Sus scrofa: one gene and its partners. The protein of the gene in region 2 interacts with the protein of the main gene of each other region in a biochemical or structural test. Links are inferred from orthologs where the notes say so. Each region holds a gene or a part of one and is shown on either strand. Other genes may lie near its edges. The genes, in order: FBXO18, RAD51, RAD52, RAD51AP1 and SEM1.

What was found.
Region 1: the proteins of RAD51 (region 2) and FBXO18 form a complex in vitro, tested with the Homo sapiens proteins (2 studies listed by BioGRID, with this or other methods). The link is inferred for Sus scrofa from reciprocal best matches to the Homo sapiens genes RAD51 and FBH1.
Region 3: the proteins of RAD51 (region 2) and RAD52 form a complex in vitro, tested with the Homo sapiens proteins (6 studies listed by BioGRID). The link is inferred for Sus scrofa from reciprocal best matches to the Homo sapiens genes RAD51 and RAD52.
Region 4: the proteins of RAD51 (region 2) and RAD51AP1 form a complex in vitro, tested with the Homo sapiens proteins (6 studies listed by BioGRID and IntAct). The link is inferred for Sus scrofa from reciprocal best matches to the Homo sapiens genes RAD51 and RAD51AP1.
Region 5: the proteins of RAD51 (region 2) and SEM1 form a complex in vitro, tested with the Homo sapiens proteins (2 studies listed by BioGRID). The link is inferred for Sus scrofa from reciprocal best matches to the Homo sapiens genes RAD51 and SEM1.

Annotation. Positions count from the first base shown.
Region 1 is NC_010452.4:65,072,380-65,078,527, reverse strand, and holds part of FBXO18 (F-box DNA helicase 1), read left to right. Parts: intron 1-2,707; coding exon 2,708-2,807; intron 2,808-2,896; coding exon 2,897-3,018; intron 3,019-5,292; coding exon 5,293-5,368; intron 5,369-5,886; coding exon 5,887-6,084; intron 6,085-6,148. UniProt on the Homo sapiens protein: 3'-5' DNA helicase and substrate-recognition component of the SCF(FBH1) E3 ubiquitin ligase complex that plays a key role in response to stalled/damaged replication forks.
Region 2 is NC_010443.5:130,621,924-130,628,071, forward strand, and holds part of RAD51 (DNA repair protein RAD51 homolog 1), read right to left. Parts: intron 3,631-6,148; coding exon 3,493-3,630; intron 1-3,492.
Region 3 is NC_010447.5:68,156,666-68,162,813, reverse strand, and holds part of RAD52 (DNA repair protein RAD52 homolog), read left to right. Parts: intron 1-1,849; coding exon of another isoform or gene 1,850-1,976; intron 1,977-2,308; coding exon of another isoform or gene 2,309-2,326; coding exon 2,327-2,407; intron 2,408-4,311; coding exon 4,312-4,413; intron 4,414-4,779; coding exon 4,780-4,873; intron 4,874-5,035; coding exon 5,036-5,103; intron 5,104-6,148. UniProt on the Homo sapiens protein: Involved in double-stranded break repair. Plays a central role in genetic recombination and DNA repair by promoting the annealing of complementary single-stranded DNA and by stimulation of the RAD51 recombinase.
Region 4 is NC_010447.5:65,879,262-65,885,409, reverse strand, and holds part of RAD51AP1 (RAD51-associated protein 1), read left to right. Parts: coding exon 1-23; intron 24-3,937; coding exon 3,938-4,099; intron 4,100-6,148. UniProt on the Homo sapiens protein: Structure-specific DNA-binding protein involved in DNA repair by promoting RAD51-mediated homologous recombination.
Region 5 is NC_010455.5:144,626,798-144,631,684, forward strand, and holds SEM1 (26S proteasome complex subunit SEM1), read left to right. Parts: upstream 1-2,151; 5' UTR 2,152-2,203; coding exon 2,204-2,416; 3' UTR 2,417-2,580; downstream 2,581-4,887. UniProt on the Homo sapiens protein: Component of the 26S proteasome, a multiprotein complex involved in the ATP-dependent degradation of ubiquitinated proteins.

The DNA of each region.
Region 1 (6,148 bases), on a different chromosome or scaffold from region 2:
AGCAACACTGGATCCTTGTTGTCACTGTTGTGGCTCGGGTCGCTTTTGTGGCATGGGTTCGATCCCTGGCCCGGGATTTTCCACATGCTGTGGCTGCAGCCAAAAAAAGTATTCTTTGTGCAATCATATAATGAGTTTATTGTTGTCATATTTAAATGAACTGAAGTTGCTAAAATGGTAATTTTAGACACAATTCATAAGTAAAAGCTCCTTCATGGCCTCACTAGTTTTTTAAAGTATCAAAAGCCTTGAGGCCAAAAGGTGTGAGCACCATACTCTTAAGAAACTCACTTTTGGGAGTTCCCGTCGTGGCTCAGTGGTAACAAACCCGTCCAGTATCCACAAGGATGCGGGTTCGCTCCCTGGCTTTGCTCAGTGGGTTAAGGATCTGGCGTTGCCGTGAGCTGTGGTGTAGGTTGTAGGTGCACCTCGGATCCCGTGTTGCTGTGGCTGTGGTGTAGGCTGGCAGCTGCAGCTCCAATTAGACCCCTAGCCTGGGAGCCTCCATATGCCCCAGGTGCGGCCCTAAAAAGCAAAAGTCACTTGTGGTTTGAGGATGTGAAAGGCGCCAGCTTGCCTGCTGGCCTCGTCACCTCCCAAGAGCTGTGGAGTGTCGAGTCGCGGGAGGTCCTGTCCCCCACTGTGTGGCTTTACCCCTGGAGCTCCTCCTGTTTGCTGTAGTGATTTAGGGCAGCACCAGCCCACAGTCCTTTTTTTTTTGTAGTAGATGTTGGTTAGTTGCGGATTTATACGAAAATTGAGAGGATAGCACAGAAAGTTGTGATGCCCCTACATCCAGTTTGCTTTGTGACTCACGTCTCATTGCTGGGGTACATTTGCCACCGTTGATGAATTGGTACTGAGACCTTTTCATAATCCAAAGTCCCCAATTGATTCTGATTTTCATAGTTTTTATTTGACGTCCTTTTTCGGTCCCAGGACCTCATTCAGGCCACCCCCTTCCGTCCAGGGTTGTGTTTTTTGGCCTCCTGTCGGCCGCCCCCTGTGGTTTCTCGGGCTTGCCTTGTTTTTGACTGGCTTTTGCCTTGTCGGGGTTTGGTGGGTACACTGATGTTTTGGGAGGAAGACCTTGGAGGAAGATTAGCCGCTTTCATCATGAGCTCTGGGGACCTGTGCCATCCACGTGATTTATGACTGTTGAAGTTGTCTTGGTCCCTGGTCCCCTGGGCAGGTCTCTCCATCGGGATGTGACTGTCCCCCGGCCAGTCTCCACACGCGTGCTGTGGAAGGAAGTCCTGGCCCTCGGCCCTCCCTCGGGCACGAGTGGGAGTGTCTGTGTCAGTGGCCGGCAGTTCCTCTGCTAAAGAGATTTTGTGTCTTCTCTTCCCCGCTGTTGACTCATTTACATCAGGGGGGACTCGGGCGTCTTTATCGTTTGGGTTGTGGCTCCCTCAGAATAGTTCTGTAGAAACGCTTTACGGAAAGTCTCACTTTCTTTAGCCCAGTGATTGATGTTCTCTGAAGGACATGATGCTTTAACCTTGAGTTAAAAATGCACGGAAAAAGGCAATACATGCTGTGAGTTCAGGCAAGAATGATGTCTTCTTTTTTTTTTTTTTTTTGCTTTTCAGGGCTTCACCCCCATGGCATATGGAGGTTCCCAGGCTAGGGGTGGAATCAGAGCTGCCACTGCAACCTACACTACAGCTCACAGCATTGCCAGATCCTTAACCCATTGAGCGAGGCCAGGGATCGAACCCGCAGCCTCATGGTTCCTAGTGGGATTCATTTCCACTGCACCACAACTGGAGCTCCCAAGAATGATGTCTTCACAGCTGCAGTGGTCACGGAGTCAGGGCGTAGGGCTGCTTTTTGAAGGGTAGGAAATTGTTCTGCCATGTGCTGCAACAGGAGGAGGGCAGGAAACACTCAGGAGTGTTTTTGGCTACACTCGCTGCATGTGGAAGTTCCTGGGCTGGGGATTGAACCCACAGCACAGCAGTGACCCGAGCTGCTGCATTGACAATACCGGATCCTTAACCTGCTGAGCCACCAGGGGACTCTGATTATTCTTGTGGCTGGTTATGCAGGGCACTGGTTTTAAATTGGTGTTGAGGGAGCCTCAAGGGACAGGGAGAGCCCCCCCACCCTCCCTTAATCTTCAGTGTAACTTCGTTAGGGTCCACTGGGAAAGAAGGGTACGTGTGGTTAAAAGGAAGGTTTGCTGCTGGTCTCAGGGAACGTGGGACTAAGGCCGTCCAGCCTGTGAGGGTCCTGAAAATGCCCACCCCACCCCTCCATGCATCACTCTCCCTTTTTTGTACCAGGCGCATGGCCAGATGAAAAGGGGGGGGGCAGGATTCATGTGACAGGGGTTGGAGACAGGAAGGAAGAGCCGGGGCCGAGGAGACGTGCGGTTGGGGTTTCTGAGCGGAGCCGGAGGCAGTGGAAAGAGAACACGGTGGAAGACTGGTCAAGGCCTGGATCTGGGGGCCAGAGGCCAAGAAACAACCCTCAGGTTTCAAGATAGAAGATGCTCTTCGGAACCCTTCGACCCCGTCCTTTTTTGCCTGCCCAGCTTCCGGCCTGTGGGGGCGGGTTTCCTGGGGGACTCTCTCCAGGCAGCCTTGGTAGGCTGGTGAGCCCGGTGTGGTCGATGGGCTTCAGCGCGGCCGGGACGGGAGCAGGCAGGGCCCTCAGTGCTCCAGGCGGGGGCGTTAACTCTGTGCTTCCTGTTCTCGCACAGAGCTTCCGATTTGGCGTGGAAATAGCCTACGTGGGAGCTACGATCTTGGACGTCTGCAAGAGAGTGAGGAAGAAGACTTTGGTCGGAGGAAACCACCAGAGTAAGGCTTTCAGTGACCCTCGTTTGTTCTGCGGGTTCGTGTTCCTCTTCCTCTGGATTGGCCCTGGAGCCTGTGCTCTCTCCCCAAAGGTGGCATCAGAGGTGATGCCAAGGGGCAGGTGGCCCTGCTGTCCCGGACCAACGCCAACGTGTTTGATGAAGCCGTCAGGGTGACAGAAGGGGAGGTGCCAGCTCGGATCCACCTGATCGGGGTAAGAGTGCGTTTCCGTCGTCTGCTCGCTCAGGGAAACACGGTCCATGCCAGCGCCCCCGCACCCAGGATCATCACGCACAGAGGCCCTTGGGCTTGATTGTCCCCACATCCGCACTGTGGCTGAAGCCCCGCCCCCGGCCATGCTGCTTAAGTGAGTCCTGTACCGTCAGGCCCAGCAAGGGCTCCGCTGCCCCTAAAAAAGGTGAGGGCCCTCTCGAGGCCGCCGGCTGTGTGACATCAGTCACGTAAGACACGCGAGGTGAGGACACACTGGGAGGTGGCCGGGGGCTCCATGTCGCCCCTGGCTTGGCCTCAGCTCTTCACTAACTCTGTGTGTGCCCCCACCCAACCCCCATCTCTAGGACAGCGACACTGCCTATTTCACAGGGACATTAGGAGGGTCAAGTGACACGTGTAGGACGTTTTTAACTCTTTGAGGCAGTTTTATGCCTGAGAAACATTTACCCGTTCATCTATGAGAAAAAGGCCTACTCTGTGTAAGCCTTCAACAAGTATAGCAAGTGAATCCTAATCAAAAGTTTTTTTGTTTTTTTTTTGGTCTTTTTGTCTTTTTAGGGCCGCACTCGCAGCAGCATATGGAGGTTCCCAGACTAGGGGTCCAATCAGAGCTGTAGCCGCCGGCCTACGGCCAGAGCCACAGCAACTCGGGATCCGAGCGGCGTCTGTGACCTACACCACAGCTCACGGCAACACCGGATCCTTAACCCACTGAGTGAGGCCAGGGATCGAATCTGCCTCCTCATGGATGCTGGTCAGGTTTGATAACCACTGAGTCACAGTGGGAACTTCCTCAAAAGATGTTCTGATGCTCCTTTTTCTTTTTTAAATGGTCGCACCTGCAGCATTTGGAAGTTCCTGGGCCAGGGATTGAATCCCAGCTGCAGCTGTGATTTACACGGCAGCGACACTAGATCCTTAACCCACTGCGCCAGGCCGGGGATCAAACCTGCACCTCTGCAGCGACCTGAGCTGCTGGAGTCGGATTCTTAACCCACTGTGCCACAGTGGGAACTTCTCCTTTTTTTTATTTTATAAAGATTGTCCAACCGAGTTACAGAAGTTTTGGAAATTAAAGGGAAAGAATCACCCTTAATCTCAGTTCTCATTTTTGCTGATTATTTATGTCTTTGTCCTTATGGATGTGTGTTTTTGCATAATTGCACGTACATAAAAGAGTATGTAGTTTTTATTCCACCTGTGAGCAGTTTTTCCTCACATTGCTGCTTTAATGAGTTTACAGTATTCCAGCACGGAGGCAGCATACTTTAGTCTTTTTAGTTATTGTGGGGAAATGGTACTTTTGGAGTATCTTCCACCAGGGAGGGAAGCTGGTCCCCTCTCGCACGTCCACTGTGTCATCGTGCTGGGTCACTTCCCGTTACAGTTCAAATGGTACAGTCGTCTGCGGTCTCTGAGATTAGCATTTGTGTCCCTTCCCAAGTGCTCCTGGGAGTGTGGAGCCTTGGGCTCGGGACCGGGCCCCAGTCAATGCTCTGCCCCCACTTCCAGGTGGAGTGGGCTGATCTGGGGGGTCAGGCAGGCCCTGTCTTCCGGGAGCGGACCTCTTAACACATCCAGTAATCTGGACCCATGCACAGTGCCTAGTTCTTTCCTCCACAGTGACAGCAGTTCCCATTGTGGCTCAGTGGGTTAAGGACCCGACCTTGTCTCTGTGAGGATCCAGGTTCAATCCCTGGCCTCGCTCAGTGGCTTAAGGATCTGGCGTTAGGGTGAGCTGTGGCTTAGGTCGCAGACGCAGCTCAGATCCTGCGTGGCTGTGGCGTAGGGATATGTCCCCTGGCCTGGGAACTTCCATGTGCCCTGGTTGCAGCCCTAAAAAGAAAATAAATAAAACAGCAGAAAAGGGGCAACGTGAGTGTTTGTGTTCCGCACTCGGTATCTGGGTCTGTTTAGACTCCTGGAAGCTGCTCCTTAAATTGCCTCCCTTGACAGGAAAGCAGCCTCCAGCCCTAAGGAGCGAGTCGGGTGAGGGGGCAGCCAGAGCGGGCGCTCGCTTGGCCCTGGTTTGCAGGCTGTGCCGTGGCCTCTGCCTTTGTGCGTGACGGAGGTTCCCGCTCGCGGTCGTTACGCTTGGGGTGCAATTTGAGATTCATTTCCAGAAAGTCCGTCGTCTCAAAAATCGCACCTGTGCGTTTGCTTTGCTTTGGTTTGGTTAACAACGGCCACGAAAACAAAACAAAAAACGACAAACAATCAAACCCCAGAAATCCCACCCAAAAAACTTTTCCAGGGGATCAAATCATTTGGATTGGACAGAATCGTTGACATCTGGACCCTCCTTCAGCCGGAGGAAGAACGCAGGAAAAGTGAGTGCGTGCGTGGTGGGCGTGGCCTCGCCGTCACCAGGGCAACGGGGCGGGAGGCGGGGAGGAGGGCGGAGCTCGCGGGGCTTTTTCCCAGCGCCACGCGCGAAGGCCTCCGGTTTCGGGGGAACCCGAGAGCTCCTCCAGCTCCTCCGCCCCAGTCTCGGGAGTCTAGGTGTCTGTCTCACGCTGGCCCCTCCGCCGCCTCCCCCGTCCCTCTGCTGGCCCCGGCCTCGCACTCCGACCTTCTGCCTGGGCCCCAAGCGGTCATTTCTAACTTTCCCGTAGCGCCTTTATTTTTTCACTGCTGCGCTATTTCCAGTCCCCGAGAAGCCGGCAGGGTACTCGGGGGTAGGGCTCCTTCCTGACCTGCAGTTTGGAGCCGAGGGGCTGGGGCACAGCTCCGGGGGCCGCCCTGGCCAGGTCAGTGACGGGTCTGGACGCCCACCGGGCCGGCCCGGAGACCCTTTATGCCGCGGTGCCGCCTGTGTCACCTTGAGCCGTCCGCGTGTTCCCTCCAGAAAACCTCGTCATCAAGGACAAGTTCATCCGAAGGTGGGCGCACAGAGAGGGCTTCAGCGGCTTCAAGCGGTACGTGACGGCGGCCGAGGACAAGGAGCTGGAGGCGAAGATCGCGGTGGTGGAGAAGTACAACATCAGGATTCCGGAGTTGGTGCAGCGGATAGAGAGGTGCCACATCGAAGACCTGGACTTTGCCGGTGAGCAAGGCGGGCCTGCCTTTCCCGCCCGGGGCGCCGGCGGATAGGGAGCAGCCGGCCGCGG
Region 2 (6,148 bases):
AAAAAGAGAAAAAAGAAAGAAAAAAAAGAACATTCATGATTCATGGGAAGAGATCAAAATATCATTAACAGCAGTCTGGAAGAAGTTGATTCCCACCCTCACAGATGACTCTGATGGGTGCAAGACTTCAGTGGAGGAAGTACAGATCAGATGTAATGTCATGATAAAACTTTCATGGATGAGGACTGTCTTCTAATAAGCAAAGAGTAGCTCCTTAAAATGGAATCTACTCCTGGTGAAGATGCTATGAAGACTGGTAAAATGACAACAAAAGATTTAGAATATGACAAAAACTTAGTTGATAAGGCAGTGGCAGGATTTGGGAGGACTGACTCCATCTTTGAAAAAATTTCTACTGTGGGTAAAATGCTATCAAACAGCACTGCATATTACAGAGAAATTGTTCATGAAAGGATATAAGTCAATCGATATAGCAAACTGCATTGTTGTCTTATTTTAAGATATAGCCATAGCCACTCCAACCTTCAGAAACCACCACCCTGATCAGTTAGCAGCCATCAACATTGGAGTGAGACCCTCACCAGGAAAAAGACCATGACTTGCTGAAGGCTAAATGATGCTTAACATTTTTAAAAATTTTTATTCTGGGAGTTCCCATCGTGGCACAGTGGTTAATGAATCCGACTAGGAACCATGAGGTTGAGGGTTCGGTCCCTGCCCTTGCTCAGCGGGTTAACGATCCGGCGTTGCCGTGAGCTGTGGTGTAGGTTGCAGACGTGGCTCAGATCCCGTGTTGCTGTGGCTCTGGCGTAGGCTGGTGGCTCCAGCTCCGATTCGACCCCTAGCCTGGGAACCTCCATATGCTACAGGAGCGGCCCAACAAATAGCAAAAAAAGACAAAAAAAAAAAAAATTTATTCTTATGGCTATAACCATAGGAAATGGAAGTTCCCAGGCTGCTGGCAATGTCCGATCCTTTAACCCACTGCACTGGGTCATGGATCAAACCTTCACCTATGCAGCAACCCATGCCACTACAGTTGGATGCCTAACCCACTAAGCCACAGTGGGAACTCTATGTACACTACTTTTTGTTTTTGCTTTTTAATCTTTCGTCTTTTTAGGGCTGCACCCATGGCATATGAAGGTTCCCCAGCTAGGTGTTGAATCAGAGCTATAGCTGCTGGCCTACACTATAGCCAGAGCAACGCAGGATCTGAGCCAAATTTGTGACCGATACCACAGCTCACGGCAATGCCAGATTCTTAACCCACTAAACAAGGCCAGGGATCCAACCCGGGTTCTCATGGATACCAGTTGGGTTCGTTAACCAGAAACACAACAGGAATTCCTGAACACTGTTTTTTAAAACATAATGCTATTGCATACTTAACAGACTACAACATAGTATAAAAATAACCTTTATATGCACTGGGAAACCAAAAAACTCTGACTCACTTTATTGCAATATTCAATTTATTGTGGTGATCTGGAACCAAACCCACAATTATCTCTAAGCATGCCTGTAGGAGTTCTCTTGTGGCACAGCAGGTTAACTAGCCGTCACTGTTACTTCAACAGCCAGGGTTGCTGCTATGGCAAGAGTTTGGTCTCTGGCCCAGGAGCTTCTATATGCCATAGATTTGGGGAGGGGGGAAAGCCCGTAAATACCAAAGGCTAAGTGCATAAAATTAAATGTAATCATGAGGTATTATGAGTAACAAAGGAGTATATGAAACAAGAAAAATTAATAAAAGCTGTAAGACATTAGAGGGAAATGATAAAGGATCACAGTATAGCAGGATGAAAATAACTGGATTCTAGTCTTAGTTCTATCACTAAGATAGAAGTATTGTGCCTAAGTTTCCTCATCTGTAAGAAAGAGATAATACCGGCCTTACTTATTTTTTTCAGCATCGGTATGAAGCCCAAGTGAGAATACCATGTTTACGAAATGGATGGGATTTCAAAGTTAAAGTGCTAAATAATATAAAAGATTATTAATAACTCATTTACATTAAGCCAGTAAAATCACTTTTATGTCATTTATTAAGGTTAATAAAACTAAACATATGACTTGTAATCATATATACATATATGATTTTTTTTTTTTTGGACCGCGCTCACGGCATATGTAAATTCCCAGGCTAGGGATCGAATGGGAGCTACAGCTGCTGGCCTATGCCACAGCTACAGCAACGTGGGATCTGAGCCTTGTCTGCAACCTACACTGCAGCTGACAGCAATGCCAGATCCCCATCCCACTGAGCGAAGCAAAGGATTGAATCCACATCCTCATGGTTACTAGTGGGATTGGTTTCCGCTATGCCACAATGGGAACTCCCATATTTTATTTTTATTATTAAAGAATCTCGCTTATAACTAGCTGACTAACAGATTATACATGCTGAAAGGCTAGTCATGTTAACTAGACTAGAAACAATAGTAATTTTTTTTTTTTGTCTTTTTGCCATTTCTTGGGCCGCTCCTGCAGCATATGGAGGTTCCCAGGCTAGGGGTCGAATCGGAGCTGGAGCCACCAGCCTACGCCAGAGCCACAGCAACGCGGAATCCGAGCCACGTCTGCAACCTACACCACAGCTCACGGCAACGCCGGATCGTTAACCCACTGAGCAAGGGCAGGGACCGAACCCTCAACCTCATGGTTCCTAGTCGGATTCATTAACCACTGAGCCACAACGGTAACTCCTAGAAACAACAGTAATATTTTAATGTATTTATCCCCAGTGTGTGTGGTATACACTGTATTTGTGTAATTGTATTTACACAATTTTTAAAAACAAAAACATATATGTGCACAAACATATTTCATTAACCTGCTTTCTTCTGTCTTTTTTTTTTTTTTTTTTTTTTGTTGTTGTTGTTGTTGTTGTTGTTGTTGCTATCTCTTGGGCCGCTCCTGTGGCATATGGAGGTTCCCAGGCTAGGGGTTGAATCGGAGCTGTAGCCACCGGCCTATGCCAGAGCCACAGCAACGCAGGATCCAAGCCGCGTCTGCAAACTACACCACAGCTCACGGCAACGCCGGATCGTTAACCCACTGAGCAAGGGCAGGGACCGAACCTGCAACCTCATGGTTCCTAGTCGGATTCGCCAACCACTGCGCCACGACGGGAACTCCCATTAACCTGCTTTCTTCTATCAGGAACATTTTTCCTATGTCAGTGAATATTCTTAAAAAATTTTTTTGTGGCTGCATACTAACGAGTATATTTCTAAGGCATGAGATCATATTATCCAGAAACACACATACCACTTACTGCTGGCAGGAGTGCAAACTGGTAGTCAATGTGGCAGTATTTATGCCATACTCAATGATTCCGCAATTCCTTAGAAAATATCTCAATTTATGTGAAGAGGCACATACAAAGACAATTAACACGGTCACCTCTGTAAAGACGAAGACGATGACAGAAGGAGGGAGAGAAAGAGGACAACTGCTGCCTTTCACTGTACACCCTTTTGCACTATTTCCACTACTGCCTCACTTGGTCACATAAGCCGTACTCACCAGAATTTTATCAGCTTTGGCTTCACTAATCCCCTTAATATTTATTAGCTCCTTCTTTGGTGCATAGGCAACAGCCTCCACGGTGTGGAATCCAGCTTCTTCCAATTTTTTGACATCATTGGCATTTATGCCACATTGCTGCAAGTGAACAAAACCATGGATAAATTTAAGCTTCGGTATGCTTATCCATCTGATATGGATATTGTCCCTACATACTTGATAGAGCTGTTTTAGGTGGGGTTTAAAATTTGTTTGTCTTTTTAGAGCTGGTTTTTTTTTGGTTGTTTTTCTTTTTGTCTTTTTAGGGCCACACCTATGGCATATGGAGGGTTCCAGATTAGGGGTAGAATCAGAGCTATAGCCACTGGCCTATACCACAGTCACAGCAACGCCAGATGCGAGCTGCATCTGTGACCTACACCACAGCTCACAGCAACGCTGGATCCTTAACCCACCAAGCAAGGCCAGGGATCGAACCTGCGTACTCATGGATACTAGTCAGATTCGCCTCCGCTGTGCCACAATGGGAACTCCAACAGAGCTGTTTTAGTAACTGTGAAATTATATGCAAAAGCTGTGAAAAGTATGTCCTACATATGAGGTATTATCAACCTTTTCATCATCAAAACCAGTAAACTAGCACAATGTATATTAGAATGGACTCCTACCATGAATTGGATTAAACCTGTAACTTTCGACCTTTTACAACTGGGACTCTAAATGAGCTTTGAGATCCTGAGCCCTAAAAGGCCATTTCAAGCCAGTGTTCCTCAATGTTTTCTACATAAAACAATATGTTTTACACTAAGCTGGGATAAACAGATAAGACTGCCCCAGAGCTAAAGGGAGTACTATCTTAGCATGTCAGTACCTTCTTGGGAGCACAAAGACTGGAAAGCTCTGCTTTAACAACTGATATTAATAATGGGGAAAACTACTCTTGGTCAGGGATTTACAGACCACTTCTCAAAAACAAACCATCCAGGGGTTCGTGTTGTGGCTCAGTGGTTAGTGAATCCGACTAGGAACCATAAGGTTGTGGGTTCGATCCCTGGCCTCGCTTAGTGGGTTAAGGATCTGGCATTGCTGTGAGCTGTGGTGTAGGTCGCAGACGAGGCTTGGATCCTCTGTTGCTGTGGCTGTGGTGTAGGCTGGCAGCTAAAGCTCCAATTAGACCCCTGGCCTGGGAACCTCCATATGCCATGGGTGCAGCCCTAGAAAAGAACGGGAAAAAAAAAAAAAAAAAAAAAAAAAAACCACATTCAAAGGCATCTCTTTCTTCCTATACACAAAGTCAGGGAGTTCCCATCATGGCTCAGGGATAGGGATAGCGAACCCGACTAGTATCCATGAGGATGCATGTACAATCCCTGGCCTCACTCAGTGGGTTAAGGATTCAGCATTGCTGTGAGCTGAGGTGCAGGCCAACGGCTACAGCTCTGGTTCGACCCCTGCCTGGGAACTTCCATATGCCATGGATGTGGCCTTAAAAAAAAAAAAAAAAAAAAAAAGGAGTTCCCGTCGTGGCACAGTGGTTAACGAATCTGACTAGGAACCATGAGGTTGCGGGTTCGGTCCCTACCCTTGCTCAGAGGGTTAAGGATCCAGCATTGCCGTGAGCTGTGGTGTAGGTTGCAGACGCAGCTCGGATCCTGCGTTGCTGTGGCTCTGGCGTAGGCCGGGGGCTACAGCTCCGATTTGACCCCTAGTCTGGGAACCTCCATATGCTGTGGAAGCGGCCCAAAGAAATAGCAAAAAGACAAAAAAAAAAAAAAATAAAATAAAATAATTAAAAAAAAAAAAGACAAAGTCAGTTTTGGTTTTATTAGCCACCAAAGCCATGATTTATGGGAGAGAATGAGTAAGGGGGGATGTGTGTATATTAGGGGGTCAGGGAAGGTTTGAGAGAGAAGAGAGAATAGTCGCTGCCCATAGAAACCAGGTCTGTTGTTAATATTTAAGCAATATTCAATACACAGGTATTGTGCTCACGAAACCAAGTTATGACTCTGAACTCTCCAACATTTATCAGCAACTTGTTTAAGTAACCTATAGAGTCTTCAAGTTTAGCTGGGGACGGGAGGGACATGCATAAAGAGATAAAAGAATAAAGGCTTTCTCAGCATTCTCTCCTACTTTTTTCAGCCCAAGTCAGTTGCACTCACCATGGGGGTCTCTGTACAATGCAATGGGCAGAAACAGTGAAAGGCCCAGCTCTGGTGCTTGATGTTCTTCTGAAGAGTCTTGAATTGAAGCTTGGCTCTTACACTTTAACACCAACCCCTTCTCCGGGCCTATGACAGCTGTCTTTCTAGTTACTTCAGCACAGATCCAGGTCAATGGAGAGACACTGTTCCTCTCCCCTAATGCATCGCTGGCCTAGGTCATTGTAATTTCCTGGACAGTAATTTCATACTTAAGACAAAGAGCAGAGACTCTACCATGGGATCCTAGGGCTCCTTAGTTTCTAACAATCCAGCTCTAAGAAAGAACAATGATAAAGTAGGAGAATTCTTGACAAAAGAAAAGATCTAGCCAGACATGTTCAGCAATTGACTTAAGCCTTTCCACAGAACACTTGAGAATCCTCCTGAAAATTCTAATTTGAGTCTTGACCTTAGGTAGTAAACCAGTGGTGTATGTAAAGGTTGTGACT
Region 3 (6,148 bases), on a different chromosome or scaffold from region 2:
ATATGGAGGTCCTGGGCCAGGGATCAGATCCGAGCCGCAGTTGTGACCTAAGCCACTATACTGGCAGGGGATCCAGCCTGCATCCCAGCGTTCCCAGGATGCCATCGATCCCATTGTGCCACAGCAGGAACTCCATGGCCACCTCTTTTTTGTAATAAAGTTTTATTGGGACATAGCCATGCTCATTCATTCATATGCTGTCTCTGGCCGCTTTCATGCTAAAATGCCAGAGTGAAGTGAAACCATATAGCTTGCAAAACCTAACATATTTACTTGCTGGCCCTTTATGGGAAAAGTTTGCTGACCTCTGCCTTATGGAACAGATATTTACATTTTTTATTTTTATTAAAGTAATATGTGCACATATTTGAAAGGGAAATAGCACTAAGAGTTTTATTTTTAAAAAGGAGAATCCTGGGCTGGCAGGGGAGAGTTCCCATTGTGTATCAGCAGTAACACACCCGACTGGTATCCATGAGGACGCAGGTTCGATCCCTGGCCTCACTCAGTGGGTTAAGGGTCTGTGAGCTGTGGTGTAGGTCATAGAGGGTGGTTTGGATCTGGTGTTGCTGTGGCTGTGGTGTAGGCTGGCAGCTGCAGCTCCAATTCAACCCCTAGCCTGGGAACCTCCATATGCCCCAGGTGTGGCCCTAAAAAGAAAAAAAAGGAGTGCCACCTCACTGTTCTCCGTACTAGCACCAGCATTGCTCCTCAGAGATGGTTCATGCTTTTAACTGTCTTTTCTGACATTAACAGCTACATTCTAAATAATATCCTCATTCCACTATTTCTTGATTTGACAATTAGACACTGATTATTGACTAGTATAGGCCACTATCCTACTTTTTCTTTTTTTTTGTCTTTTTGCCTTTTCTAGGGCGGCTCCCTCGGCACATGGAGTTCCCAGGCTAGGGGTCTAATTGGAGCTGTAGCCACTGGCCCACACCAGAGCCACAGCAACTCAGAATCCAAGCCGCGTCTGCAACCTACCCCACAGTTCACGGCAACGCCGGATCCTTAGCCCACTGAGCAAGGCCAGGGATTGAACCCCCAACCTCATGGTTCCTAGTCGGATTCATTAACCACTGAGCCATGACGGGAACTCCAGCCACTATCCTACTTTTTAGTGCAAGATTATGAATAAATTTACCATTCTTTGCTGAAATGTAATATTTTATCGTTTAAATAGTTTTCTGTATTTTCATCGTAATGTACTTAAGCAAGTTAACAAGAACTTAACAGTAACATTTATTTAGTACTTTGTATGTGCCAGGCACTCTTCTAATGCAGTTTTGATGCAGTTTCACATTTGATCTTTACAGAATCCCTAGGAAATGTAGGTGCCATTGTGATCTCCATTTTCTAGATGACAAAACATCTTTTAGAGAGATTATGTGATGTTTCTCTTGGTCAAGATCTCATGGATTATAGGGTCAGAAATCAACATTGTGCTGTAACGCCATGTGGAGAATCATAGTACTTGACATTGATGAATTGTTGTTCTCTTGTTAGCAAATAGTCTGAAAATTTATAACATGCAAGTTTGCTGAGGCCCAACTTAGAATCTGTGATTTGAGGCAAGTATGGGGTGGTCAGCTGCCAGTGCCTTTTCTTGGGGGTTCTGTTTTCTGGGGGTTACGTGTTGATATGGTTTCAGTCTAGTGCCTGGGCTTTTGATCCTGAATTTGTGTCAGAATCACTGGGTGGGCTTGGTCAAGCACTAATTCATGACCCCACCTCTAGCTTCCCATTCAGTGGGTCTGGGTGGGGGCCTGAGAATGTGGCCCCAGACAGTGCAGATGCTGCAGGGACTGTTAGAGGTTTAATGCTGTGTCCTTTCTGAATGCAGGGTCTTCACTGCGTCCTGTGAGGCTCCTCCTGTCAGCTGGTGTGTGCACCCCAGGAAAGCAGTTCAGCCTCTGTGGCTTCTGTTTCCTCTTGGACCCCGCAGAAGTCTGCATCGGGTTGCTTACACAGTAGGTACCTCATAAGCTGGTAGTTTGCTCTCCCCTAGTGTGCTCTTGTAATTTTGGCTTTTTAATTCATTTAAAGTATAACGTATTCTTATTGTAGAATCACCTTTAATAGCACCACCACACTCGCAAAAATTTGAGGAGAAAGATATAAGCAGACTGGAAAGGATTTTCAGTGGTGTGTGAGATGACAGCTAGCACTGAGGAACTTGGTCCAGACTGGTTCAGTGTTTAGAAGGATGCAAAAAAAGTGACTTTATCTGATTTTTAGTAGAGGCTCTTGCCTTTTACCATTAGCATTCTTTAAGATCTTTTAAAATCTTCTGTTTATTTAGAGGTCAACCAGAATTAACATGTCTGGGACTGAAGAAACAGTTCTTGGAGGCCGCGACAGGCATCCTACTGGTGGCAACTCTGTATTATGCTTTGGTCAGGTAACTGCTGTTTTTTTCATACCTGGAAGGAATGGGTTAAGTGAAAAGGTACATGGAAGCAGTTTGTAGAGTACCATCCCATACTGTAAGCTGTTAATTGTTTTTGTTTTTGTTTTTGCTTTTTAGGGCCGCACTTGAAACACATGGAGGTTCCCAGGCTAGGGATTGAATCAGAGCTGTAGCTGCCAGCCTACAGCACAGCCACAGCCACAGCAACTCGGGATCCAAGCCGGGTCTGCAATCTACACCACAGCTCATGGCAACGCCGGATCCTTGACCCACTGATCGAGTCCAGGGATCAAACCCACAATCTCATGGTTCCTAGTTAGATTAGTTTCCTCTGTGTCACGATGGGAATTTCTGTTACTGTTTTTTTTTCCATTTTTTTAATATAATTTTTTTTTTTTGTTTAGGGCTGCATCTGAGTCACATGGAGATTCCCAGGCTAGAGGTCGATGTGCCACAGCCACAGCAATGTCAGATCCAGGCCGAGTCTGTGACCTATACCACAGCTCACGGCAACACCGGATCCTTAACCCACTGAGTGAGGCCAGGGATCAAACCTGCGTCCTCATGGATGCTAGTCAGATTTGTTTCTGCTGATCCACAGTGGGAACTCTTTTTTTTTTTTTTTATCATTAAGGTGCATTATTTGGGAGTCTTTGATGAACTCTGAGGGCATTTTGGAACTTTAGCATCAAAAGACTAATATCCCTGAGGATTACATTTAAATTTAAATTTTATTTATTTTTTTTGGATAGATTGTATTTTCATATGCTGAAAAATTTAAAATGAAACAAACTCTATGTGGAAAGTATCATGTTTCCTATCACCCTTGTCCACATTTCACCCAGATCTCTTCTTTTGGATACATCCAAACTTTCTGGTATTGTATTCTTTATGGAGATATTCTGTGCATATAAGGGAGATTCTTGCTTTGTAACCCGGATTTTATCTTTGTCTTGCCAGAGATCTATTTGTGAGCATTTATTCAATTTAAATAGGGCAAGGGGAAAATGACCGAGGGGATGAAAATCCAAACAAGTAGTAGCATATTTCTTTATGTGTAGGATGGGAAATTGTTGAATTAGAGAAAAGGACAAATGGAAGCAAGACTTTCTTGTCCTGTTTTCTCCTCCCCTGCTCCCTTGCCTGCATAAATATCATATATAGACTCTGAGAATTAGTTTCCCAATTCTGACTCAGGTAAGTTTTATAAGGATGGTAACATGGTAGTAGCATCTAAGGCAGTGGTTCTCAAAATGTGGTCCAGTGACCCCTGGGCGGGTCCACAAGACCTTTCAGAGTCTGTGAAATCAAAGTTATTTTAGTAATAATACTAAAATACTCTGTGTCTTTTTCACTATTATTCTTTCATGAGTGAGGATGGAGCTTTCCAGAGACCGCATGGTGTGTGCTTATGTCATTGCTCTGGTGGTTATTGGAATGTGTGCCTTCAAAGTTTCTCAGTTTTAATTCCTAGTATTGACAGATATAACCAATATAAACAGAAGCTCTTTGGGTCCTCAATACTTTTTAAGAGTAAAGGGGTCTGGGAGTTCCCGTTGTGGCTGGGTGGTTAACGAATCCGACTAGGAACCATGAGGGTGCGGGTTCAATCCCTGGCCTTGCCCAGTGGATTAAGGATCTGGCATTGCTGTGAGCTGTGGTGTAGGTTGCAGAGGTGACTCGGATCTGGCGTTGCTGTGACTCTGGCATGGGCTGGCAGCAACAGTTCCAATTGGATCCCTAGCCTGGGAACCTCCACATGCCTTGGGAGCGGCCCCAGAAAAGGCAAAAAGACAAAAAAAAAAAAAAAAAAAAAAAAAAAAGAGTAAAGGGGTCTGGAGACGTGTTAAGGAGTGGTGGAGATGTCAGTTTAACCTCCCCTTTCTGGATTGCAGTACCAGTACACAGCAGAAGAGTACCAGGCCATCCAGAATGCTCTGAGGCAGAGGCTGGGCCCAGAATATATAAGTAGCCGCATGGCTGGAGGAGGCCAGAAGGTAGGAGAGTTCATGTCCCTGCAAAGTGGGTACCCACAATACTGACTCTTTCAGCGATGACCAGCTCCCTCTCTGGTCCTCTGGGATTCAGGAGGTTTCTCTTCACTGTTGCTGCATGTTTCTTAGTGACTTTAGGAGGGGATGGGTTCCAACCTTTGTTGTCATCTGAAGTGGGCCAAGTTCTGACTGGTCCTTCTGGAAGTTCTTTGAAATAAGTTCACTGGAATTTCTCTGAGAATTCCCTAGAATGTTTAAGGGCAGTTTTGCCAAAAAAAGTTGGTAAGGAATAAATTAAGTAAATTTTGGTCCATGTTTAAGTGTGGCAAGGGATGTTAATCAGCTCTTTTCTCTTTAAATTTTTACCAGGTGTGTTACATTGAGGGTCACAGGGTAATTAATCTGGCCAATGAGATGTTTGGCTACAATGGCTGGGCCCACTCTATCACACAGCAGAATGTGGGTGAGTCTGCTTCCTGGCTCTCTCTCCCTGACTTGGCTGATTCTGGTAGGCATGTTTTGTGGGTGAAGACCTAGGGTAGGTGTGCCCCATTGCCAGCTGGAGGGATCCAGGTAAGGCACAGGATCAATGTCCTCTTCAACTGGTTCTCTTTCCCACTCCTAGATTTTGTTGACCTTAACAATGGCAAGTTCTACGTGGGAGTCTGTGCATTTGTGAGAGTCCAGTTGAAGGTGAGGGTGATGGAATAGACTTCGCTTACAGGCACAGGGCGGGTGCTGAGACCTCTAGGCTGTGGAGCAGCAGCCCAAGAGCTGGGCCTGAGCTGGGGTGGCGGCATTCAGACAGGCTTACTCATGTGCCCTTCAGAGAATTCTGTAAAGCTCTGTTCTCTTGCATTTGTAAGTTAGCTAAAAGTTTTCACCATAAATATAAACAATTGCAAGGGTATATTTTTTGGCGTGTTATAAAATTTTACATTCTAAAGTAAATCCTACCTTTTTTTTTTTTTTTTTTTGCCACACCCTTAGCATATGGAAGTTCCTGGCCCAGGGATTGAATCTGAGCTGCATCTGTGACCTATGCCACAGCCACAGTAACACCAGGTCCTTAATGTGTTATGCCACAGCGGGGACTCCTATTACATCTTTTTTTTTTGCTTTTTTAGGGCTGCACCTGAGGCATACGGAGGTTTGCCACAGCCACAGCAACAGTAACATGGGATCTGAGCCTCGTCTGCGACCTACACCACAGCTCATGGCAACTCTGGATCCTTAACCCGCTGAGCAAGACCAGGGGTCGAACCTGCGTCCTAATGGATGCTAGTCAGATTCGTTTCCTCTGAGCCACGATGGGAACTTGTGCAGTTGGATTCCTAACCCACTATGCCACAGCAGGAACTCCACATCCTATTTTTTTATATTATGCAAAATGCTTTTCATTTCTTTTTCTGCTTTTTTGGGGCTGCGCTTGCAGCCCAGGGTAGGGGTGGAATTGGAGCTACAGCTGCTGGCCTGCACCACAGCCACAGCAACGCCAGATCCGAGCCATGTCTGCGACCTACACCACAGCTCATGGCAACACCAGATCTTTAACCCACCGATAGAGGCCAGGGATTGAACCCGCAACCTCATGGTTGCTAGTCGGATTCGTTTCCGCTGCACCACGAAGGGAACTCCTGTTTTGTTTTTATTTTTTTTCTATTAGTTAGTTTATATATCCATAGTTAATATTTTTCCTAGACTAAACATTCAGCAAAATAATTCTGATTTATTTTTG
Region 4 (6,148 bases), on a different chromosome or scaffold from region 2:
CTCCGAACCAGACTTTGCAACAGGTGAGTTATGTCCTAACTCTGCATTAACCCCATGGAGAGTCAGTAAAAAGACCATTGATGTATGCAAAACACTGCTAAACGTTTGGTGTGCACAGACTGTGTGCACACTCAGGACTGTTAAATTCAGCTGTGGCATTTGGGGGAAGCTGTATCTGGAGGTGACCTTTAAGCCATGCCTTGAAAAATGAGTAGCATTGGGGTGAAATAGCACTTCTGACGGATAGAAGGGTATAAACAACAGAATGGACAAGCGCACGTACAAGAACTCGGTGATGCTGGGGATTCCTCAAAAAATTAAAAATAGAACTACCTGATGATCCGGCAGTTCCACTCCTGGGTATTTATCCAAAGAAAATAGAAACTGATTGGAAAAGATATGTGCACGCCCTATGTTCATTGCAGCATTGTTCACAATAACCAAGGTATGGAAGCAACCTGAGGGCCTGGCAGCAGATGGATGGATAAAGAAGATGTGGTGCATATGTATGTATTTAATGCACACACACACACCCAGTGGAATACTACTCAGCCAAAGAGAAGAATGAATTCTTGCCACTTGCAACAGTGTGGATGGACCTGGAGGGCATTTTATTAAGTGAAGTAAGTCAGACAGAGAAAGACAAATACTGTGTGATTTCACTTAGATGTGATTTCACTTAGGTGTGGAATCTAAAAATAAAGCAAATCAAACAGAACAGATACAGTCATAAATACAGAGAACAAACATGGTTGCCAGAGAGGAAAGAAATAGTTGAGGGAGTTGAGATGGACAAACCTCTAACTGCAAAATAAATGAGTTCATGACATGAAATGTGCAGTGTGGGGAATACAGTCAGTAATTGCATAACACCCTTGTAAAGTGACATCCTGTAACTGACTTAACTGTGGTGGTCATTTTGAAACGTATAGAATTAGCGAATCACTATGTTGTGGACCAGGAACTAACATGGTGTTTCAGGTCAATTCTACTTTACAAACAAACTCACAGAAAAAGAGATCAGACTTGTGGTTACCAGAAGCAGATGTTGGAGGAGGAACTGGATGAAGGCAGTCAGGAGGACCAGGCTTACAGTTATGAGATAAACAAGTACTGGGGTGTAACATACATGATGAGTAAATTAACACTGTGCTATGTTATACATGAAAGTAAGTAAGAGAGCAAATCCTAGAGTTCTCATCACAAGGAACATTTTATTTTCTATTTCTTTGATTTTGTACCTGTATGAAATGGTCAATGTTCACTAAACCCATTGTGGTCATCATTTCGTGATGCATGTAAGTCACATCGTTATGCTGAACACCTTAAACTTACATAGTTCTGCATGTCAGTTATATCTCAATAAAACTGGAAGAAAAAAAAAAAAAAGATGTGGAAACACATGCACACATACAAGGTATCCAGTGAGGCTTGCAGGGAAGGGAGAATGTGGTAGAGGCTGCAGAGGCCCCCTGGCGCAGGTTTGTGCAGGGTCCCTGACCCATCCTAAGAGGTGTAGAATTTTTTTCCATAAGTAATGGAAATTCACGAATCATTTTGAGGTCGGAATGATGTGAAACCTGTATTTTTTTGTGATAGTTTTCAGATTCATTCAGAGATTAGGGCAAATGGGAAGCATAGTGACCTTGACAGCATCATGGTATACAAACTAAAATTAAAATGAATAAATCCATAAATTTATGCCATCAGATGCTATCTTTTTAACATGCAGTTGACCAACAATAACCTGTTTGTTCATCTCCATTCAAGAAATAGTTGGGTACCTGTTATGGGCACTGTATTTTAGACACTTAATGATATTATTATAGCATTGGACAAAGTTCCTGCCCTTATGGAGCTCAAACTCCGGCAAGGGGACACAGACAATAAACAAATACCTAAGGTGTCAATTTATGGTTTATGTAGTAGTAGATACTTAAAAATTCATAGATTCTGAGACATAGCCCTTAGCTGCTTGTGTATCACTTGTGGACTAAAATGACTGTTGTTTCTCCAGCTCTTTGAGAGTTGGTTTGGTTTTTCCCGGCTTCATTATTATGGTTTCTGCCAAACTGCTTGTACAGTTGTGCTTCCTGCAAATGTCGTGTGCTCCAGCCCTGAGGAGCAGTATCTCAGCTCTTCCGGGAGCTGCTCATCAGTGAGGAGGTGAGAACTGCTGTCCAGCCAGGGCTGTGGATTCACAAACTAAGCTTTAGGCACAGGATTTTTTCCTTGCTTCTCCAAATTTCTGACTCCTCCTCTGTCCTTCACCCCAAGAATGCAAAAGTCTACGCTGTCTTGCAGATATGTAAACCTCCTTCAGATGCTCCAGCCAAGCCTGCTTTACCTTCAGTTCAAGGACAAACATTCTTTTTATACTCCATATACTTCAAGGAGTGAGACAGCTCATTTTCATCCACCCTAAGCCAAGAATGACTCTCTCCCATCGACTCAGAGCTGGGGGACAAGAGGGGTGGATATTGCTCTGTACTAAAAGTGACTAATATGGACCGGGTAGAAGATGATACCCAGAAACATTTGTTAATATTGCTAGATAGGATGATGACATTGTTGTGTTTTTTGAAGGTCCGTGTTTTTCAGAGATGCTTTGTGAAGTATGTAGGAGTGTAATGCCACAGTGCCTTGGGTTTATTTTTATAGACATGAGAAGAAAGGGGAAAAGAGAAGACAGATGAGATGCAGCAAAATATTGCTGATTGTTGAATCTGGGTGTTAGTTTTATTGTCACCTGTTGTGAGTGTTTAAAATTTTTCATATATATTTTTTTTGTTTTTTACATAGACTATGTTATTCCATAGATAGCTGGGTAGGTACTGTCAGTGGGTGGTGAGCATGACAGTGGTTATCTCAAAGTGAGGAGGTTAGAGAGTGGGCCTCCTTCTTAATATTTTGTAGCACAGTCTACATTTCCTACAGTAAGCATGAACTGCGTTTGGTTTTTTGTTTGTTTATTTTTTGGCCATACTTACAGCAAGTGCAAGTTCCCAGGCCTGGGCGCAAACGTGCGCCACAGAAGTGACAACACTGCATCTGTAACCACTAGGCCTCCAGGGAGCTCCATGAACTGCATTCGTAATATAAAAAAGTGGAAAAAAAAATTGTTATGAATATAGGGCTAATCCTTATTTACACTTAATTGTCAGAGTTTATTATTTATAAGACATGGCCTTCTTATCCCCCTACTCACCAAAAAATAGAAGAATTATTGCTTGACTATTGGTTGTTCTGCACGTTCTCTTCTAAAGCAGCTGTAGCTACGTAATACATTTTATCACCGGCTAATATCACCTCCTGCAGCCCAGAAAAGAGTGTGTGGGAGAGCCGGGGTGTGTCCCAGATGAAATCATCGTCAGTTAAGACTGCTGGGGTGCCGTTTGTCTCTTCTCAGTTCCCAGTGGATCTCTGTTCTGCAGTGCTGAAGTTTGTGCGATTAAGGGAAGGTATACGGTGAAATTACCATCAAAGTTAACGTTTTGTAAGAGCAGCTAATATTATCCAGCTATTTTTCTCAGAAGTTACTGAGTTAAACTGATAAATTCGGAATCCTTATGATTACTGATGGGAGGTTAATGACAACAGTGAGAGCAAGCAATTCTCTTCTGCTCGCTGCATGCACATGTTATCCTTTGCCTGTATTAACTCGCTCAGTCTGCACACCAACCCTGTGATGTAGGTCTTAGGGTTCTCCCCATTTTATACATGAGAAATTGAAGCCCTGTGAAGTCAGTGACTTTTCTGACACCACACGACATGTAAGTAGAGAGGCTGAGACCCAAAACTAGGCCACTGTGTGTGGTTTCGCCCCTGGAGATGGCACAGCACAGAGGGCACCGGAGTCTGGGGCAGAAGCCAAAGTGGAGGCACTAGAAGCTTCACGTTTCAGAACCGAGATGAGGTTTGTAATCTTCTATTTCAGGTGACGATTCTGAGGATGATTCTGATTTTTGTGAGAGTGAGGATGATGAAGCCCTCACTGTGAGAAAAAGCAAAGTTAAAGAAATCAAAAAGCAAAAAGTGAAGGTGAAATCTCCAGTTGAAAAGAAAGAGAAGAAACCTAAATCTAGACGTGCTGCTGTGGGTAAGCGCAGCCCTGAATAGAGCAAGTGTGTTGGGTTTACTTAGTGGGTTTCTCTCCGTGGCCTGTGTTCTCTTAACATCTTGCCGGTGTTCGTTCCCATGAAAATCCGTGGAAGAGAGCAGGTGGGGTCAGAGCCGGTGGGTACAAGCCTCCACCTTCCCTGTCACGGGTCTCTCAGTCTTTGAGTTGAGAACCTTTCAATCACGTGTTTGAGGCTTTTTGGTTTCTTCAAAATGAATTCATTTAGAAACCAGTTTTAAAATAAAACTTTGGAACTTGTGATGACTTAAATATGGAATACTTGTGTGAAAGAAGTTTGGATATTTTTGAGTTCGTAATAGATAACAGATTACTGTGAAATATAACTTCCTTTACCCTGATTTACTTTACATACTGACAGACATTTATGTCTTCATTGTTAAATATATGTGCTATTTGAAACTAAAATTTCCATTATTCAGACCCCATTTATTAATTGTGGGCATTGTTCTCACCTGAAATAGCCCAGGGCTGAGTACTGGTGCTGAGTACTTACTAAGAAATAAGAAGTATTGATTGAGTCATGCTCCTCCTGCCACTATATTCTGAATTAGTGAGGTTTTATTTTGTTTTTTGCTTCTTTTGGGGCTGCACATGCGGCACATGGAGGTTCCCAGGTTAAGGGTCAAATTGGACAGCTGCCGACCTATGCCACAACCACGGCAACTCGGGATTCAAGCTGTGTCTGTGACCTACACCACAGCTCACGGCAATGCTGGATCCTTAACCCACTGAGCGAGGCCAGGGATCGAACCTGAGTCCTCAAGGATCCTAGCGTTCATTGACCACTGAGCCACGAAGGGAACTCCTGATTAGTGAGGTTTTAATTGATTTTTTTAATTGGCAAATTCATCGTTTCCAGAAATAAGATTTTAAATGCCGGGTTTTTAGAGATAAAGCTGTGTATGAGTTCCCATTGCTGCTGTAAAAAGTTATTACAAACTCAGTGGCTTAAATCAACACAAATTTATTATTTCACAGTTCTGTAGGTCACAGATTCAAAATGCCTCTCACTGGGCTAAAATCAAGCATTGGCAGAACTGTGTTCCTTTGTGGAGGCTTGAGGGGAGAATCCCCTTTCTAGCCTTGAGGCTGCCTGCTTGCCTTGACTGGTGGCCCACTTCCCTCTTCAAAGCCATCACATCACTCTTGTTCTCTGCTTCTCACTTTCACTTACAAGGACCCGTGTGAGTACACTGGGCCCTTCGCACAATTCAGGTTACTTCCCCATCTCGAGTCTCCCCCCCGCCTTTTTTCTTTGTCTTTTTGCCATTTCTTGGGCCGCTCCCACGGCATATGGAGGTTCCCAGGCTAGGGGTCGAATCGGAGCTGCAGCCGTCAGCCTACGCCACAGCCACAGCAACTCAGGATCCGAGCCTCGTCTGCACCCTACACCACAGCTCACTGCAACACCGGATCCCCAATCCACTGAGCAAGGCCAGGGATCGAACCTACAACCTCATGGTTCCTAGTCGGATATGTCAACCACTGAGCCACGACGGGAACTCCTCGAGTCTCTTAATGTAATCCCACTTAAGTCCCTTTGCTGTATAAGATAACATGTGCACACGTTCTGGGGAGTTAGGAGATAAATATCTTTAAGGAGCCGCCTATATAGACTGATAGGAGAAGGTCATTGACGATATGAAAAAACCTAACATGAATATATTTTATGTTTTCTTTAGATTTTTGTTTATGCCTTCTCACCAAGACACTCTAAAAGCTAAAAATAAATTCGCTTTCCAAGTTGCCATTTACCACTTAAATATTTCTTTATCCTGGAGCAAGTTGCTTCACAAGAAAGTTTACCATGTGATATTAGAAGTAAAATTTAACAGCCAAATAATGAAATTAAGAATTCGGAAAGATGGATTATATTTCTAGTCCCAGTAATAACATATTGAGTAACCTTTGAGTGTCTTCAATCTGGTACATGTTATAATTTTTTCCTTGATAGAGGAAATTTCAAGAGCTGTGGTGTCCATTATGGTGGCCACCAGCCACAAGTAA
Region 5 (4,887 bases), on a different chromosome or scaffold from region 2:
AGCTTATTCGAGAAAACACAAAGTCAAAACAAAATATGAATTAATGATTTTTAGTAAATCAGGAACTAACATTCTACTTTCACCCCCATCCCATGCTCTCTAATTATGGTGATAATTCAATGGTTTCTTTCATGTCCAGAAGTCTGCCCTTCAAATACCACTCGATATTTTCATTTTATCTTCCTTTCTTATTCTCATTCTCTCCTTTCTTATTCTCTCTTTCCCTCTCATCTTCTCTTCCCCATCCATTTTCATTTCTCAAATTCTTTTGCTCCCCCTCTTTTACCTTCTTTTTGCTTTAGGGTGTATCCTAGCAACAGCTATTTTAATTAAAAAAAAAAAAAAAGATGGGAAGGGCCATTGGTGTTGCCAAGGTTACCAGTATTTCCTGCTGTCACTTGAGAAAGTTAACTTGTGCATTTATCATAATGAAACAGATGCTTCAGCATCTTTCTTTCTTTCTTTCTTATAAATCTTATTGGAGTATAGTTAACTTACAAAGTTGTGTTAGTTTCAGGTGTACAACAAAGTAAATCTATTTTACACATGCATATATCTATTCCTTTTCAGATTCTTTTCCCATATAGGTTATTACATAGTATTGAGTAAATTACCCTGTGCTATACAGTAGACCTTTGTTATCTATCTATTTTATATATAGTAGTGTGCACATGTAAATCCCAACCCCTTAATCTATCCCTTCAACCCCACATTTTCCCTTTGGTAACCATAAATTTGGTTTCAAAATCTTTGAGTCTCTTTCTGTTTTATAAGTTCTTTTCTATCATTTATTATTAGATTCCACATATTAGTGATCTCATATGCTATTTACCTTTTTCTGTCTGACTTCTTTGACTTAGTATGATAACTTCTAGGTCCATCTCTGTTGCCACAAATGGTATTATTTCATTCTTTTTGAGTAATATTCCATTTTATATATGTACCGATCTTCTTTATCCAGTCCTCTATTCATGGACACTTAGGTTGCTTCCATGTCTTGGCTATTGTAAACAGGGCTGCAATGAATGTTAGGGTGTATATATCTTTTCAACTCACGATTGTCTCTGGATAGATGCCCAGGAATGGGATTGCTGGATCATATCAATATTGTTCTCCACAGTGATTACAACCACTTACATTCCCACCAACAGCATAGGAGAGTTCCTTTTTCTCCTTACCCTCGCCAGCATTTATTATTGATAAACATTTTGACGATGGCCATTCTGGCTGGTGTGAGGTGATACTTCGTTATAGTTTTGATTTGAATTTCTCTAATAACTAGTAGAGACTAAAAAATATGCTACTAAACAAGCAATGATTCACTGAAGAAATCAAAGAGGAAATAAAAAATACCTACAGACAAATGACAACAAAGACATAATGATCCAAAACCTATAGGACAAATGACAACAAAGACATAATGATCCAAAACCTATAGGACACAGCAAAAGCAGTTCTCAGAGGGAAGTTTATAGCAATACAATCTCACTTCAGGAAACAAGAAAAATCCCAAATAAATAACATGACCTTACAAATAAGGAACTAGAGAAAGAAAAACAAATGAAACCCAGAGTTAGTAGAAGGAAGGAAATCATAAAAGCTCAGAGCAGAAATAAATCAGATAAGTATGAAGAAAACAAAAGATCAATAAAACAAAAGCTGGTTCTTTGAAGAGATAAACAAAACTGATAAACCTTTAGCCAGACTCATCAAGAAAAAAAGGGAGAGGGCTCAAATCAACAAAATTCGAAATTAAAAAGGAGAAATTACAACTGACCACACATAAATACAAAGGGTCATAAGAGACTACTACGAGCAACTACATGCCAATAAAATGGACAACCTAGAAGAAATGGACAAATTCTTAGAAAGGTACAACCTTCCAAAGCTGAACCAGAAGAAATAGAAAATATGAATAGACCAATCACAGGTTCTGAAATTGAAACCAAGATTTTAAAACTTCCAAAAAACAAAAGTCCAGGACCAAATGGCTTCATAGGTAAATTCTATCAAACATTTAGAGAAGAGTTAACACCTATCCTTCTGAAACTTTGCAGAGGAAGGAATACTCCCAAGCTCATTCTATGAGGCCACCATCACCCCAATACCAAAACCAGACCAAAAAAACAACAAAAAAGAAAATTAAAAACCAGTATCCCAACTTTTCCACTGGCCTGAGAGGTTTGGGGAACTGAGGGTCGCGATGTCAGAGAAAAAACAGCCGGTAGACTTGGGTCTGCTGGAGGAGGACGACGAGTTCGAGGAGTTTCCTGCAGAAGACTGGGCTGGTTTAGATGAAGATGAAGATGCACATGTCTGGGAGGATAATTGGGATGATGACAATGTAGAGGATGACTTCTCCAATCAGTTAGGAGCTGAATTAGAGAAACATGGTTATAAGATGGAGACCTCATAGCATCCAGAAGAAATGTTGAAGCAACCTAAATTTGAACTGTTTACTAAATTCTGGAACAGAGAACCCAGGGGGGACACTTAAAAAAATGTTTATTTCATTACCTGCTTGGACTTATTTTTGTTTTTGTAACACAAAAAATAAATGTTTGATATAATAAAAAAAAACCAGTATCATTGATGAATATAGACATAAAAATCTTCAACAAAATATTAGTAACATTATTTATATTATAAATATAATATTTGTATTATATTAGCTCTCATAAAAGCTTTTTACTTCCTTATTTCATTTCCACAATGGTTCTGTAAGGATTTACTTCCCCATTTTATAGATGGGGAACTAAAAATCAGGGATTTTAATGACTAAAGTGGCAGAAGACTTTATAATGGTTTTTAATTCCTAACTCCCTGCACAGCATCTTCCTTCCACCAGATGGTGATGAAATAGTGCCCATGCATGTTTTTAACCCCTACTTTCTTCCTAACAGCTGCCCCAGAAACATTTTCTGAATAAATCATTTGCACATTAATGTTCCTTTGGGGTCAATTCCGATTTCCCTTTCACCCTTCCCTTCCTTCAATCCATTCTCCATGGCTGGAGTGATATTTTTAAAATCTTACTTAGATCACATCACTCCCTACTTAAAACCATCAATGGATCCCCACTATGCTCAGGTAATGCCCAAGTTCTCTACCATCATGTAGGTATTTCATGCTTCAGCTGGTATCTTCAGCCTCAACTCTGACTACTTCTTTCCTAATATAATGCAGCAATAGCATACTATATGTAATTCCCAATACAGACCAGGATGTATCTTACCTCTTTGGTTTGGTTCAATTCATGCTGCTCCCAAAATGTGGCATGCTCTCTTCTCCAGATGTCACTAATCAATGCCTCTGGTTCAAGCAAGTGTCATCTCTCCAGGAAGGCTGAGAGTTCCTGGAAGATAGGGATTATTCGTTCATTAATTTTATACCTTTGATTTTAGCCTGATACAGAATAGAAAGCTCATTGAATGAATGGCCTTTCTTTTTCTTTCTTTCTTTTCTTTTTTTCTCTTTTTCTTTTTCTTTTCTTTTTTGTCTTTTTAGGGCTGTACCTGCAGCATATGGAGATTCCCAGGCTAGGAGTCCACAGTCAGAGCTACAGCTGCTGGCCTAAATAACAGCCACAGCAATGCCAGGTCTGAGCCATGTCGGCTAACTACACCACAGTTCACGGCAGTGCCAGATCCTTAACCCGCTGAGTAAGGCCAGGGCTCAAACTTGTGTCCTCATGGATGCTTCAGATTCATTTCCACTGAGCCATGATGGGAATTCCTGAATGGCCCTTTAAGGAGTGAAAATAGCTACTACTATGCTAAAGCAACCTTGACAAACCCTCAATTAATATTGGAGATATCTTTGAAAAGTGAACCAATAATGTTGGTAATGGCCATTTATTTGTGCCAACACTGTACCAGAGAGTTACTACTTAATGTATGATATTATTTATCTTCACAACAAAATAAGGCATTATTATTCTTTTTTTTAAATATGAGAAAAATTAAGATGAGAAATGTCGCTTAGGACATAGTGCATAAGTGACAGATTTGGAATTTGAGTCCTCCTATGCCAATCTTCATTCCAAAGACTGTGCTCTCTCCTTTACAGAAAAGCATCTGTGTCATAAGTAAAGTAGAATAACACCTGTAACCTCAAATGGGCAAAGCCCTCAACCATTTTCATTCCCAGCCTGATGGTCAACATGAAAAAGAGGAACACTGGTTTTATATATTGGTTCATATATACTGGTTTCATCTACCCATGTTTATATTAAATTCATATGGCTTCAGCATCATAATCAATACGTTACATCTGCATCTATTTCCAGTCACTTTAGAAGGCATTTTGTTTGGAGGCATTTCATCTGAAGAGATGGTAGAACTAGAGACAGATATTTACAGAGAATAAATAAATCCTTATTTTATACTCTATACAATAAAATATGCACGGAACATTTCTTCCCTGCAAGAGATACTTTGACAGCCTGTATTCCTGTGAATATGCTTCACCAGTTCTCTCTAGGGCTCAGCAAGGCCCTGATCACATGCTGAGCACACACACAGAGCCAGATTCAGACAATTAAAGTCATGATTTGTTTTTGCTACCCTCAAAACTTGATAACTAAATGGCAGCAGTAGTTAATGTAGCATTTTATAAGCAACAGTGAATTACCCATGGGTAGTGACTAACTATAAATTAGTATGGTTATATGCAACACAAAAAATGTCCACAATTGGGAGATCACGTCACAAGCATGAAAAAGAGAAAGTCTGAGTCAGGTTACACAAAATTACAGAATAGGCAGCACAGGAAATCAGATCTGTCTCCTTTTGACTTTTGCTGGCTCTAGAGCTTGCTTTTTACAGTTTCTTTCACCACTGTATGACATAACCACCCCCATAAGAATATGGCTCTTCTCTGTACTCT